2 linked regions of the Oreochromis niloticus genome follow. Each later gene encodes a partner of the first gene's protein in a complex. Links are inferred from orthologs where the notes say so. Each region holds a gene or a part of one and is shown in the gene's direction. Other genes may lie near its edges.

Region 1 (7,889 bases):
CACCACCAGTAGGCAACGGGTGAAGTGTCTTGCCCAAGGACACAACGACCGAGACTGTGCAAGCCGGGGCTCGAACCAGCAACCTTCCGATTACAAGGCGAACTCCCAACTCTTGAGCCACGATCGCCCTAAATAGCACTAATAATAATAATTATTTGATGTAAAAAAAAGTTTATGAGAATCATTTTATATATTTTTCCATAGCATTACATTTGAATTTAACAGTTCAATCTTTCAAATAACAGACGGATATTTGTGAAAGAATGACCGAGCTAAGATCCTGTGGGACTTCCAGATACAGACGGACAAAATGGTGGTGGCTAACCAACCGGACATAGTGGTGGTAGACAAACAGAAGAAGACAGCCGTAGTGATCGATGTAGCGGTTCCGAATGACAGCAACATCAGGAAGAAGGAACATGAGAAGCTGGAGAAATACCAAGGGCTCAGAGAAGAGCTCGAGAGGATGTGGAGGGTGAAGGTAACGGTGGTCCCCGTGGTAATCGGAGCACTAGGTGCGGTGACTCCCAAGCTAGGCGAGTGGCTCCAGCAGATCCCGGGAACAACATCGGAGATCTCTGTCCAGAAGAGCGCAGTCCTGGGAACAGCTAAGATACTGCGCAGGACCCTCAAGCTCCCAGGCCTCTGGTAGACCCAAGCTTGAAGGATAAACCGCCCGCAGGGGAGTGCTGGGTGGTTTTTAAAAAAAAAATATATATATAGATATAGATATATATGTTCAGAAAAAATGTATTTATTTTACAAAATAGTGAAACATAACATTGTGTGGTCTTGCAGTTTGGCACAAATCCTGTTTTGACTCCATAAAAATGAACAACATTTACAACATATCTGTAATATCCTGAACATTCAACACATCCACACATGCATTTCAAGAAGCATCCTGACCTTCCAAGTCACATTATTCAGTGCAGACTGTGCTGCATCCAACCCTAAACCAGTAACCAGGCAGAACTACAGAACAGTGTCACTGGTAGCTGAAGACCAGTCAAATGTGGCTTGTGCGTGTATTTGTTCACAGAACATGACTTCTAAATATTCAAACTAAACCTTTAACATTAAATAGTTACACACATGTAACACAGCCAGTGGGCTGAAACGCGTCTTTTTTAAACAAGTTTATCCAAAGAGCACCTCTGACGAGCAAGAATCCAAGAAGCACTCCTTTACAAACCCTGTTTTCAAGTTACACTTTCAGAAAATGTTTCTCAACAGTTAATGTAATAGTTTTGTTAACTCCTTGAATTAAAGCTGATAGTCTAAAGTTTTTAGTCAGATGTTGTTTGTTTGATTCAAAGTCCAGTGTGGTGATACACTGAGGCAAATGGCAAAATAATGTTTAATGTGTGAAACACTTATGAACTTGACAGAGATCAGAGGGAGTAACCAACCAATAATGCAAAAGCACAAATGTAAAGGGAATACTACAGAAGACTGTTATATAGTTATTTTAATTTAAAGGCTGCTGTTGTGATACTGTTAGACCTGAAGCCGTAGGTGTTGGGCACTTGGGCAAAGAAATGAGATAAGCTGTCACCACATCACCACCTAGTGGTGAGGTGGATCAGGTGGTGGGGCGGGAATGATGAACAGATGTGGTGTACCCAGCAGCTGTCACAGCTCTGGTCTGTGGTGGTCTGAGAGATCTTCAATCCCACCTCCAGCATAATGCTGCACATCCTCTGTAATATGTCGGGTTTATTTCAGCCTTGCAAAGCGAGTGCTCGTGTTTCACCAATAGAAACATGTGACTTCCGTTTTTTATTCTATTACAGGTCTACTAATGACCATGGGCCTATTACACTAGATTTTGGGGGGGTTTCATGAAAAGAAAAATCATTATTCTTATCTGAATGAGTTGTGTAGTTGTAGTTGTGTAATTTTTACAAATGAACTTAATTGTGGAGGAAATGGAGTCTTCACAGTGTCCAGGGTGAACATATATGAGGAGACCGTTAATGTTGGCACCCAGGAGGTGGGACTCATGACCCTCATTTCTATTAGCAAGCTTGCAAATTAAATACAGTTTAGTGTCCACTCTGACTGATCAGAACATTTTAATTATCACATAAAACTCTGCAGGGTAATGCATGGACAGCAGTGTGTGTAACAAAGTTGAGTTTCCTTAAACCATTTTTAGCCCATGGTAATTCTGAAAATGAGAGACAACGAGCATAAACACAATAAAGGAAATATAGTACCTACTTTATTTTAACAAATTCAAAATGAAACCTCTCTCTCTCCTAGTTAGTCCTTTATTGTTAACATAATTGGCAAAGCTCATTGTTTCTACTATTGGATCCAAGTCTGTGAAAGTCTGAAGTTCATTACACACAATCCATTCAGCAGCTGGGACAAAGTAGTGTTGTAGTGTTTAATGGGAGACCTGAAACAAAACTCTAATAACACTTTTTAAAATCACATACAACATTAAGAATGGTCTGTTACAACTCTACAAGTCAGCATGTTAATTCTGTCAGCCAGTGTAATAAAACCCACAGTATGCTGGACTGTCCCTGTCTACTGTAAACCTTTTCTGTATTTATAAAATAAGAACTTCACAGCTCACGTAGCACTTCTTATCTTATCATTGTTTCTCTTTTCCCACTTACTCTAAGCATGGGTGGCAGGGTTAACCAACGATGTGAAGCATTTGTTTTTGCCTGCCATTGTCCTTTATCCAGGTAAAATCCTCACTGAGATTAAAATCATCACAACATAATCAATCACATAATCATATTCAGTACAGACAGGTGAACACATAAATGTGGATCATTTGCAACAACAGTCATTAAAAATAGTTACACTGATCAAAGCAGTGATTCTCTCACTCCTTTAAAATGGACTTCAGCTCCCCATCACAACCACTGCAGCCTGCAGTGAACACTCCTGTGTTTTATTTAAGAGCAGGTCCTGATGACACAGTAAACCTAACCATGCTCTATAAAGGACTGGGCAGACCTTTACTCACAGTAGCTTCATAGATGCATCATGTTTCTGATGATTAAAGATCAGAATAAATTACAACAGTTAAAAGTATGAACTAAGATCAGCTTAAAGAATAAACAGATCATTTTTCTATGATCAGTACTTTCAAATGCTTTACTGTGTATTCAGCAATAAAAACAGCCTGTCAGTATTCATTCAGCAGGCCAGACAGAGACAGGATAACAGGGCCTGCAGTTTAATAACATCACATTATGCAGTAAAAGGAAATTAAACAGAAGAGAAGCTCACAGATGAAGCCACAAAAATGATTTTCAGTTGGACAGAGATTAAAGGTGTAGTAAGGGTGCTATTGTAGAGTCATCACCTTACGACACCTTGAGACAACTGTTGTTGGCGCTATAACAACAAAATTGAATTGACTTAAAAAAGGTAGAAGATGAAGGAAAGGTGCCAAAAGCAGTGGGAGAAGAAAGAAAAAGACTTACAAAATCTAAAGAAAAGGTGCAGGAAGGAACCGAAAGAGGAGACGATAATATCACAGCTGTTTCAAATAGAAGGAAACACGTACGGGGAAATGTGACTGTGCTGTAGAAGACGACACCATAGAACAATGTACTTTACTGCACTGTCACAAACATGAGACAGCTGATAAAAACCTTAATAATGTGAAAGTGAAACTGGGTCATATTTATTTTAAAAGAACACAAGAAATAAAACTATCAGGCCATATTTACATATTTGTTTTTTAGAAAGACAGATAAATGTTTTGAGTAGAATCTGTAGTTTTATTTATTTGTTTTGTTTTTTGTTTATTTGTTTGTCTTTGTGAACGAGAGTTTATTCAATAGTCATACCAGTGGGTGGCAGTAATGCACCTTTTTTGATATTTACGAGCCGCCAATAAAAATGACTAAGAAAAAGGAGTCGGTGCTCTGGGAGCAGCAGTTTGGCATAAACTGGTTTGTGACTGGACTGGAATGGCCTCCTCATTCTGCTGAGGCTGTGAGGAGAGTGCAAGGGCAGTCTAGATGGAGAGAGAAGACTGTTCAACCAAATTCAACCTCACCCTGTGGACAGAGTGGGAAAACAGAATCTACAGTTACAGTTGACAAGATGTTGTTGTTAGTTGTCACTGACTGTGCAGCTTGATTAAAATACAAAACAGATCAAATCAAAATGATAATCAAAGGAGCAGAGAAGATCTTTGGTGTAAAAGCATTTCAGAACATATTAACAAAGGACTGGAGGGATCCAGGGACATCAGGAGGGAGGATAATAAGAAAGCTCGACGTTTAATAGCAAATGGACAAGAATTTAAAGGATTCATGAAACCAGAAATGATCTGTATTAAGGAAACTTGGCTCAAACCAACTTTCTGTAATCAGAGGATATAGCAGGGTATGCAGAGACAGAGGCGAGGTTCAGGGAGGAGGATGTGTAACAGAATATAGATTATAGATTAGTCCAAGTTTGGAATAGAAAGGACAGCATCAACCCATGCAAAAGGCTTTCATCTGAACCAATGAACTTCATTTCTATTTGAATGGAAATATATTGTGATGTGGCGATTTTAATGCACACATCTCATCATGGTGTACTAATAATGATCACAACAGAACATGAATTACAGCATTAATGTAAAATAAAAAATCATGTTGAAATGATCGGAGGGGCACAAGAGTTAATAGGAGAACAGGTTTGGAATCAGCGACTGATCTGAACTATAATATAAATGACGGTCAACACTCCACACCAGTTGGTGGCGGTAATGCACCAATTCGTTGTTTGCTAACCGCCAATAAAAACAACGAGGAAGAAGAAGAAGAAGCAGAAGAAGACGGTGCTCTAAAAATGGCGGAGTCGGAGGAGGAGGTAGACGTCTTGGTCCAGAGAGTTGTCAAAGACATCGCGAATGCATTCAAGAAGAACCCCAGCATGTGAGTACAGTCGGCTGCGAACAAACAGCGCTGGGCCCGGAGGCCTGTTTCACACCCAGCGGATCCAGGGCTAGGCCACGGCTGATTCAGGGTTTAAATTATGGGCGTGGACTCTTACCTGGAATCGGAACTGTCTAGATGAAGTTTACATTTTAGACACTTAGTTTTGTTTGTTCTGTTCAGTTGTGAGACATGATGTCGTGGGGATTACTGTTTACTTACAATTAAATAACTTAAAACATTGCTGCAGCGGGATATTTCACGACTTTACCGAGCTGAGCTATGCAGCTTTGAAAATGCGACATTCCGATCATGTTGTTTCATTAATGGTGTTATTATTTATTTCGCCGGTGAATGAACTGGGATGCTTAACATTTGTGTATATGGTGGTACCGAATATTTGCATGCCATGAGAAGCACGTGATGTTAGGTCAATCATGTGTGATAGTATGTTAAGAATTTTAAGGCTGCAGCTATCAGTTATTTTGGCAATCAAATATTCTGATTATTCTATCGATTAATCGAGTAATCTGATACTTTTGTCGTATTAATGAGCACTAATCAATATTCCAAACAGGAAAAAAATAGGGCTTTCAAAGCTACTCACTGGTTTAGAATTTGCTATGTTTTAAAAGGACTTTTTCCCAGTAAAGGTTTTAATGGTGACTACAGGAACAAGTGTCGCTTTTTGAGATGCTGGGAAAATGTGTGTAAAATGCTCGACAACAGAGCGCTGCAGACATGTGGCTTAAATAAGATATCAAAGTACAGAATTTGAGACAAGGATTTTTAAAATTTACTCGATGAATCGTTGTAGCTTCTAGTTTAGTGTGATAACCACAGATTTTCAGCTGCTTTGGGTTTTTTGCTAGCCTTTGGAAAAAGAATCCCCTCAGTTTGGATGTGTTTGGTTCACTTTTAAGTTTTCTGGGTGTTAGTGTCAGAATGGATGACAGCAGTAACACGTGTTTTCTTAGCTTTTATTTGTAATTCATTCAAAATAAAAATGTAAAAACTTCCTTTTAACAGGAAGAAACCTCTGACAGAACCAGGCTCAGGGAGGGGCGGGGCCATCTGCCGCGAATGGTTGGGATGGGAGAAGGACTTTTTGCCCATTAGAGAAAACATATTTAAATAGTCATTACTGGTTAGCGTTAAAGGGATTGTTGGCTCAACAGAGCTCTGACTGTTTGTCAGCCTGGCTACAGTGCTGAAGAGAAACCTGGGGTTGTTCTTATTTTCTTCAATCAGTGACGAATAGTAAGATGTTCTGGCTTTGCGGAGGGCTTTCTTATAAAGTAGCAAACTATTTCTCCAGGCTAAATGATGATCCTCTAAATTTGTGACACGCCATTTCCTCTCCAGCTTACGAGTCATCTGCTTTAAGCTACGTGTTTGAGAATTATACCACGGAGTCAGGTACTTCTGATTTGAGGCCTTAGTTTTCACAGGAGCTACAGTATCCAGAGTCGTACGTAGTGAGGAGGTAAAATTATTAACCAGATAATCGACCTCTGTTGGAGTAGCGTTCAGATAGCTGCTCTGCTCTATGTTGGTACAGGGCATTGAAGATGATAACAGTGGGTGGATTATATTCTTAAACTTAGTTACAGCACTTTCAGAAAGACATCTACTTTGATAAAGTAGATGGCTGCTGTGATTGCAGCCATTCCCCAACTCTCTGTGAATGGTACTCATGGACATTGATCAGTGGTTGATGATCAATGGTCATAAGAATTTGCATAATTAAGATTAAGGAACTGACCTCCCACTGAAAACGTTACGTCCAGATGAACAACTTTTGGAGATTTATGTACCTAGATGATTGCGTATGCATCAAGACATTACTGTTTTTACTTTTGTACTTATATATATTTTCCATCCAAATGAATGGAGAATATCTTCTTCACATGCTTTTCACACCTCCAGTATTTTGAAGCTTAACTAGTTCAGCATAGTTTGACCTAGAGATGGAATTCAAACTTTAAACAGGTCCCAAGACCTTGATCTACTAAGGTATTACTAGGATTTTCTCTTTTTACGGGTTTATACAGTTTTGTGACATTTTCAGAGACTTTCTGAGAGTACTACAGAGAACCTGTTCAGCTCTATAAATTAAAATTCTCTGAAAAGGTCTTTTTTTGTTTTGTCCATCCATCCATCTTCTTGCGCTTTATCCGGGGCGGTCGCGGTCGCACCAGCCTAAGCACAGAAGCCCAGACCTCCCTCTCCCCAGCCACCTCCTCCAGCTTGTTCAGGCGAACACCAAGGAGTTCTCAGGCCAGCCAAGAGATATAATCTCTCCAGCATGTCCTGGGTCTGCCCCGGGGTCTCCTCCCGGGGGGACATGCCCAGAACACATCCCCCAGGAGGCATCCTTGTCAGGTACCCGAACCACCTGAACTGGCTCCTTTCGATGTGAAGGAGCAGCGGCTCTACTCTGAGCCCCTCCTGGATGTCCACACTTCTCATCCTATCTCTAAGGGAGAGGCCAGCCACCCTTCGGAGGAAGCTCATTTCTGCCGCTTGTATCCGCGATCTCGTTCTTTCGGTCACTACCCACAGCTCGTGTCCATAGGTGAGGGTAGGGACGTAGATCGACCGGTAAATTGGGAGCTTCTCTTTTACACTCAGCTCTCTCTTCACCACAACAGACCGGTGCAGCGTCCGCATCACTGCAGCACCAGCACCAATCCGTCTGTCGATCTCCCGCTCCCTTCTCCCGTCACTCGTGAACAAAACCCAGAGATACTTAAACTCCTCCACTTCGGGCAAGAACTCGTCCCTGACCTGGAGTGGGCACTCCACCCCTTTCTGGCTGAGGACCCTGGCCTCTGATTGGAGGTGCTGATTCTCATTCCTGCAGCTTCACACTCTGCTGCGAACCATTCCAGTGTGAACTGGAAGCCACTACCCGATGAAGCCAACAGAACCACCCCATCTGCAAAAAGCAGAGATGAGATCCTGAGACAACCCAAGTGA
Region 2 (7,750 bases), about 25 Mb from region 1:
CTATTTTTATTTAGTCAGAAGGTTTTTTGGGGGGTTTGCTTTAAATTCAGTTTAGTTTCCAAAGTGTTTGGCTTGTTTTAGTGTTTAGTTTTTGATTTTGTTGTATTGCTATTAGATTTAAAAGCAAGATGATGCAATACAACAACGCCAGCAGCCAATCACATAGACATCTGCATTGATTTAAATGGCTCCATAAGCAGCAGTAATTGCTTTAATAGTACAGAATCTTTTGTTAATTTTTATTTCTAAGTTTAGTCTAGTTTTAATTTTACTTTTGACTGCTGTGTTTTAGTTTAGTGAGAGTTTATTATAATGACTAAGCTGATAGAAATAGTCAGATATGACATTTTGCCTTTATTTTATTTCTACAGAGGCCCTATCCTGACTCAGTGTACATTAATATTTTATTAATCGGTTATTTTAATACATAATCACAATAAAAATTATTTGTATTTAATAAACATTAGGGCTACTACATAATTATAATAATTCTGATGCTGTGATTCTGATTTTGAGCACTGAATATGTTTTAATGTTGTTCGCTTTTACTGCTGTGGTTTTCAGGCTTTCATAAAAAAGCCTGAAAACTCATAATAACATCACAATAAACGTGATCTCCAAGTAATATTATGTGATTTGTTAGGGTGAGGGACTCACTATCCATTAATGTTAAGTTTTAGGTTTGCAAGGTTATTTGTTACTTTTATATACGAAATGACTTTTAGCCTCAGTCTATTTTAGAATGCATTTTTTTAACATGACATGTCAACTAACCCTGTGGCCCGAACTTATAATTGATTTTTGTTTTAGAAGAACACCATGCAAAGCTATGGGGTTAATCAATGTTGGACCTGAAAGATACTCGTATGTTTGCGAAACTGCAAACATGCCGAAATTAGAAATAAAAAGGGATGAATGACCTCCAAATCTTAAAATAGCACGCTAGAGGCGAAGGTCTCCTCTGCTTATCAGCTCCAACAGTTTACCTGTCCAGAGGTAAGAGCTTTTTTTAGCTCTGACCTTTTTCTCCAATAGTTTGCTGGACCTGAGTTCAGGGGGGTTTTTTTTAGTAATGGCCTTGATTTTTAAAGGATCAGCACCAGTACTGTAAGATAAGTAAACTCAAAGAATGAGACTGACCTTACTTTCAAGTTTAAATAGTCATTAACTGTGCATGTTATATATATTTGTTGTTTTGGTATAACTATACAATGCTTAAAAATGAATAAAATAAAAATAATAAAATAAAATTACTACAATTTGTTTCTATCAGGTGGGATATCTGATATGTTTTTAAACTTTGGTGTCTCACACCTGACACATTTCTTGAAAATCTTTTGAAGTTCTCAGCACTGAATGTGCATGTACCAAAACAGTTCATGCATGCAGTAGTTTGCCATAGTAAACCTGCAAAATGCTGCAACTTAATTCAAGTGAAGTATTGCTGTCAAAATGATATGTTCCTTTGGCATGGGGTCAACCAGAATGGTCAAAATGTTATGATGTTTTGTCAGTGCTCGGATTTAAGTCTTGTCTTGTTACATCTTCCCTGATGCCAAATATAACCTCTAACAGACTTCTTTATCAAAGCATAACTGTTATTTTTAATTTTTTTTATTAAAGTGAATGGTCTTCTAATGCTGATTCACATTCTATGCAGTAAAGCAAAATAACATTTGCATTCATGTGCATGTAACATGAGGAAAAACATGTTTTGATGCATGCTCAATCATCCAGGTAAGGAAATCCCAGAAAGTTGATTCTGTTCATCTGGACGTAGCGTTTTCAGTGGGAGAAATGTTTCGTCACTCATCCAAGTGACTTCTTCAGTCTCAGCTGAATGCAGGTTTCCCAACTTTATAAACAGTACATTTGCATAATGACCTAAACTAGCACCACTGATAAACAATGGGCCGTGCGGTCAGTTTATAAGGTTGGGGAAAGTTGCAGTCAGATGAGTCTGAAGTAGTCAGTTGGATATGTGATCAAATGTTTCTCCCACTGAAAATGCTACATCCAGATGAACAAAACTTTGTGGGATGAGGGAAAACAAATTTATTTTACTGCAGTGGTCACACAAAACCTTAAATGTAGTTACAACAAAAGCTAAAACTGTTACATAAACATTACTATTAATACCTAAAAATCATTACTATGTTTACAGTAACAAATCTGTGCTGGAACTCACTGGATTCCAGCTGGCTTGGCCACAGATTCCCATCAACCTCTCCTTCACAAGAAGTTGCTGTACTGTAATACTTTTAACTGTGAAGAAACATTCTCTGCGCCTTCTTTCTGCTGTCTTCAAGTGTCATTCAACTGAGCCAAAGCCACTGAGGAAGCACTAATGTGTTTGTGATGTGTCTGATTTTTACTTGATTTTCACCAGCTGGGATGTGTTTAAGTGATTCTGGTAATAAAACAATACGATATTTAAAAGAAGGGGGGGGGGGGGTGATAATATTGGGTGATGAAATTGTTAGAAGCATGTTGTAACACACACGCAGTTTGTTTAGTTTGTGTCCATTTACAGGGAGAAATTGAATGTGTGCCAAGTGCTTGTCAATAGATGATTATCCAGTTAATTTAACATGTGGCCTGTTTGCACAGAAGCCTGCCTGAATGGATCTCCAGCTGTCTCTCGCAAAGTAAACTTCAGAGATTGAAGCAACTGTGTTGTTCAATTACAAGAAGAGAAACGTAAAGATCTGTAGCGTTATAGTGTATTACTACAAACTGTACGTCAAGGACAATTCGTTTAATCGTGTTCATCAAAAAATTAGTGCAAGGAAATGGAAATATTTTAGGTCCGTCCTATCACGTTTTCTGTATCCAACTGTAGCCACGATACAACAGATACTTAGAAGATACTCATGCATTTATTTACCTTTTGCCATTAATAGTCCATTTATAGTCTAAGATCATATCACTGATATCAACATCATTGAATTGTGAACTATACTGTAGCGATAACCTTCTTCTAAAAGTTGCATCTGTTCAGAAATGTATTTCATCACATTAAAATTTTGCAGATAGCAAGATTTTTTTTTTTTTTTTAAAAACTGTTTCTTTACCTTTTCCATCGTATGACAATGATGACTAAATCCGAAGTGTCCTGCCGACCATTAGTCTTGGAGGTGGAAGTTCCCTCCCTTTAGAAGTTTTGATGATTCCCAAGTTGTTGCTCTTATGGTGTTTTGCCTCGGCATAGGTGCATGAAAGGCCCAACCATTATTATGTCCCCAGCATTTGGTCTACATAATTCTCTGCAGCAGCTTGAAACCACATTTACATATCTGCAGTTTTTCTACTTTCAAAGTTGTAAACAGAAAAATAAAATCTGCAGGTGACCAAAGTATCTTAAATAGCTTTTGGAAATTTCTTCATTCTTGCAGATACTTTTGGCAGAAAGTATAAAAACTAAGAATTCCTCTTAACTCTTGGACACAGTAAACTCAAATCTTCAGTCATAAATAGCGTAAATTACATCCTAAAGAATATGTGTGGGAAAAAATGAAGGACTAATTTTCACTATCTACATATGTATCTATCTATTACACACATAAATGTTATATATTTTAAATACTCAAACATTTGTTTCTGGGCGAAAACCTATGGACGTCTTCATTCTTGTTAGCGGTTCCAGTTAATATCCACACAATGAATATGCCATCCAAGAGTCAGTTAAACAAGAACAACAAGACAATAAATTAAGCAACCAAACCTTTGTCGCATTGATAAACCCTTACATCTTTAAGTAAAATGGAGAAAAATATGAAAGCAACCTCCAGCTTGTAGGCAAACTTCTCACTGACAGTATCTCAACTCAAACAAAATTAGTTCCAGGAAAAGAAAACTCATTTCTCCCTTCAGTGCAGCTGACGATCATCAGATTCACCTAAATACTTACTGGTTTCCATGCCAATAGGATTTCAATGTGTCACCAAGGAAATGAATAACAGGCTCACATCTGACATGGAAAACACTTACCTACACGGAGTTAAATGCCCAGGAGGAAATTGCTAAATGGAGCAAGATTACCCGAGAAAACATGAATTGAGGTTGCCATAAAACAGCTGAATGTTAAAATAGTTTTTTACAGATTAAGGACATAATAATAATAATAATAATAATAACAACAACAACAACAACAACAACAACAACAACAACAACAACAACAACAACAACAATAATAATAATAATAATAATAACAACAACAACAACAACAACAACAATAACAATAATAATAATAAAGTGGAACTTTTATTGTTTGGCTTCACACAAACAAGTGGATAGCAATCAGTTCTCCCAGAATAACAAATTCAGGGTTTTCTACCATTAGTATAAAAGCACATCTATTAAATGTCAATAAATATGGTTGAAATGTTGAAACATATTATCATTTGAACCAGTTATTACAATCTCGCAATCCTGCTAATCTAAACCGATAAAAATTAATTTGCTGCATCCAACAGTGTACATAGTACCTTAGATGAAAAATAAATATGATCCGTTTAAGGCTGACTGTTATCCATCCGTGTGTCTAAGATTTCCCTCCGTGTAAATACGTTGTAAATACGTTTATATTAGGTAGATATAATATCGCTTTGAATCTGGCAAACAACCGGAACTCTTAGCCCAGCGGTGTGCGTGTTTCCAGCGGAGTGAATGTCAGATTGCACCGTTTGGGGACCGTGACGTGGTGATTGGTCACTTTAAGTTCATGTTAAAAACTGTTAAGTTAGCGCTAACTATACTGTGACTGGGTTAGTGGACGTGTTTCGTACATACCTACGAGTTTTATTTCAATACGGAATTGGACTTTTTCTGTCTGTTTTGATTGGAATCAGACGGTTTGCGATAGTTTTAGCTGGTAAGTTAGCCGAGGCCTGCCTTAGAGTAGATAGCAGCTGGAGCTAATCTGATTAAATTTTGTAATTTTCTTGACAAGTTTAAAACTTGAATCAACTTCTTTGCAGTCTTTGCTTTTCGCCATCAGTCAGCCTGTTAGTCCCATCTGTAAGGAGGGAAAATGGTTAATCTAAAATGACTATGGCTGAGAGTAAACAGTTAGCCTACAAGCTTTTATCTAGGCGGCGACTGCTTTTGCTGCGAGCTTCACGTCGTTGAAGTTTCTCTTTTTTTGTTAGCGGGGAAGCTAGTTAGCTGAGCCGGATAAAGGATAATGTTCTCATGTGATTGTTCTTATGTTATCAGACTATCAGGACTGTGTAACTGACACACGAACCGGTGGCAATATGAAGCTCTACAGTCTCAGCATCCTCTACAAAGGAGCGACCAAATCCAATCTTCTCAAAGCGGCCTACGACCTGTCCTCCTTCAGTTTCTTTCAGCGCTCCAGGTGCGTCTCACTAACGAAACGAAACAGTTTTTACTGCAGTTCCTTATTTCTTAGAGTACTGACCTGTGCCTCACACATCACGGGTAGTATTTATTTCACTATTTCTAAGTGTTTTCTACTCTACACTAAGTATTGCTTTGGTTTGTTTAGCATTCAGGAGTTCATGACCTTCACCAGTGCCTTGATTGTCGAACGAACATCTCAAGGAACCCGTGCCTCCGTCAAAGAACAAGGTAAACAGATTTAGAGTGTTTTAGGTGTGGCCCTGTGATGCAGTGATTAGTGCTGTTGCATCAGAGAAGACCCTACAGATTCAGGGTAACCTTTTGTCAAGTATCCTCTCTACAGTGGTATTGGTATAAAAGGCTGCACATTAGCCGCTTACTTGGATAACTAAAGACTATCACAGATCTCAAAGGACGAGAACAATAATAAGTTGTGATTTGTAATATCATAAAGGAATGACTTTCTGCAGTGTCCTGCGTCACAGTAGGGCAGAAGGAGATTTCTGCTGAAAAGTGATTTGATGTTTGACAGGGAAATTGTGATGGGGCTGTGACTAGGGATCGGTATCGTTTAGGTTTTATCCGATACCGGTGCCAAACCGGTACTCTTGAAACGGTGCCGGTGCTTAAACGGTGCTCGAACCGGTGCTTAAAGAACGAAGAACACACACTTTGTCCAAAAACCTCTCATGTTTAGCTGATTTTTTTTGTAAAAAGATAACAATGTTAGCCTTTTCTGCAGCTATAGGGGATTTATGGTATCACTCTTGGCTGGAAGCAGTGCTTAAACAATGGGGAAAAAAAACACCAACTTTGTCCAAAAACCTCTCATGTTTAACTGTTTCCCACTTTTTCTTTGGTCATTTTAGCCTTTTTGGCCAGGGTGAAGGGAGTATCTGCCATCAAACAAGAAGACAGCCGCATGTAACTACGACGGTGTTTACTAGTTCACCTTACATGCATTAATTTAATAACGTGGTTAGCCTACTCAACATAAATTACACACAAACAACATTAAGCTACTCACGCAGAGAAGAACGGCTGCTGTTGCCATCATCATCCGTCATCATTTCTGCTACGCTGACAGGGCTAGGGGCCAGGACTCTACTCTTCGGGTTCTTGGAGGATGTTGCTAACTCCGGGTTCGATAACAGGCACCACACCCGCAGTAGATGTGCTCGGTGTGAGGTCTTGCAGCAAGCTATCAAATACGGTGTATTTCTCGGCTTTTAAAAAAATGCTATGCGTCGCCAGGTGTTTCATCAGATTCGAGGTGTTACCTCCTTTGCACAGTATCAGCTTAAAGCACTTGTTGCAGGCTGCTGAGTTTGCATCTTTTCCTGTGAAGTACAGCCAGACTTTTGACCACTTCGCCTTGGGCATTTTTAATCTGTAGCTCTGCTCTAAAAGAACGTACATACCTGGGCCCGCCTACTATCTTTGGAAACGTAAAATGATTGGCTAGAATCCAAAGTGTATGACATCTCAGGAAAAAAAAGCACCGAAATAAAGCACCAAAATGTGCGCTGCTTTTCGGTCTGGTTACTACCGTTTATGTCAGAACTGGTGCGATACCGGTACCCATACCTAGCTGTGACATGTTCTCTGGCCTGAAAATGGACATTTTAAGTCCAGTTTTAAACAGTTGGAGATAATAAAAGTAAAATTTAAGCTGTCTCAAAACAATGACGCTAAACATTTCCTTGTTTCTGGAGTACACAGACTGCTTTTCCCCTCTTCAGTTTCATGCAGGCTGAATCATCATATCATGTGACATGAACTTTAACAAATGTCATTACGGAGTTATGCTTCATAATGAGTGTGTGATGTTTGTTTGTTTTTGTTTTGGGAGTCGTATGGAGAACATTTTGCTAAGTTGTATTTTAATAAGGCTTTTTATTCTTTGGCCCTTCTTCAATGCACCAGTAGACACAGTAGTTTTCCTGTACAATAAGATCGGGTGAACATTGTTCTGATAACAACACACCTTGCTCCTTTTTTTTTCTTTCAGAGTACCTGTGCCATGTGTATGTGAGAAATGACAATTTGGGTGCTGTAGTCATCGCAGATACTGAATATCCACAGAGAGTCTGTTTCACATTGCTTGACAAGGTGGTTTATATATTTAAAAAAAAAAATACATATACATATTATGAGACTTGTTGTTGATTTCAATAGTGACATTGCTTTTTTTTAGGTATTAGAGGAGTTCTCTAGGCAAGTGGACAGTATAGACTGGCCCTCTGGTAATCCTGACACCATTAACTACAAAGCCCTTGACATTCACCTCTCTAAATACCAGGTCAGTTTGTTTTACATTTCTCAGAATTTATGTTAACGAAAGACCTGATATTCTATGACTGCAACTAAACTGTTTGTGTGA

Evidence for each region.
Region 2: the proteins of ptar1 (region 1) and ykt6 are in contact, whole or in part, in a crystal structure (PDB 6J7F), measured with the Homo sapiens proteins. The link is inferred for Oreochromis niloticus from reciprocal best matches to the Homo sapiens genes PTAR1 and YKT6. Residues at the interface, in NP_001093136.1 of Homo sapiens: Glu31, Gly33, Leu34, Ile35, Pro36, Val48, Val50, Glu51, Lys53, Leu54, Gly55, Ser58, Lys135, Tyr191, His225, Ser228, Met229, His230, Val231, Ser232, Asp233, Phe298, Asp301, Leu302, Ser305, Tyr306, His309; in NP_006546.1 of Homo sapiens: Met1, Ser29, Phe30, Phe31, Asn83, Glu84, Pro86, Gln131, Asn132, Pro133, Arg134, Gln180, Phe184, Arg189, Ser193.

Annotation. Positions count from the first base shown.
Region 1 is NC_031977.2:970,890-978,778, forward strand, and holds the start of ptar1 (protein prenyltransferase alpha subunit repeat-containing protein 1), read left to right. Parts: upstream 1-4,752; 5' UTR 4,753-4,821; coding exon 4,822-4,907; intron 4,908-7,889.
Region 2 is NC_031977.2:26,281,096-26,288,845, reverse strand, and holds the start of ykt6 (synaptobrevin homolog YKT6), read left to right. Parts: upstream 1-4,607; 5' UTR 4,608-4,702; exon of another isoform or gene 4,703-4,873; intron 4,874-5,217; 5' UTR 5,218-5,258; coding exon 5,259-5,362; intron 5,363-5,512; coding exon 5,513-5,595; intron 5,596-7,378; coding exon 7,379-7,479; intron 7,480-7,564; coding exon 7,565-7,669; intron 7,670-7,750. UniProt on the Homo sapiens protein: Vesicular soluble NSF attachment protein receptor (v-SNARE) mediating vesicle docking and fusion to a specific acceptor cellular compartment. Functions in endoplasmic reticulum to Golgi transport; as part of a SNARE complex composed of GOSR1, GOSR2 and STX5.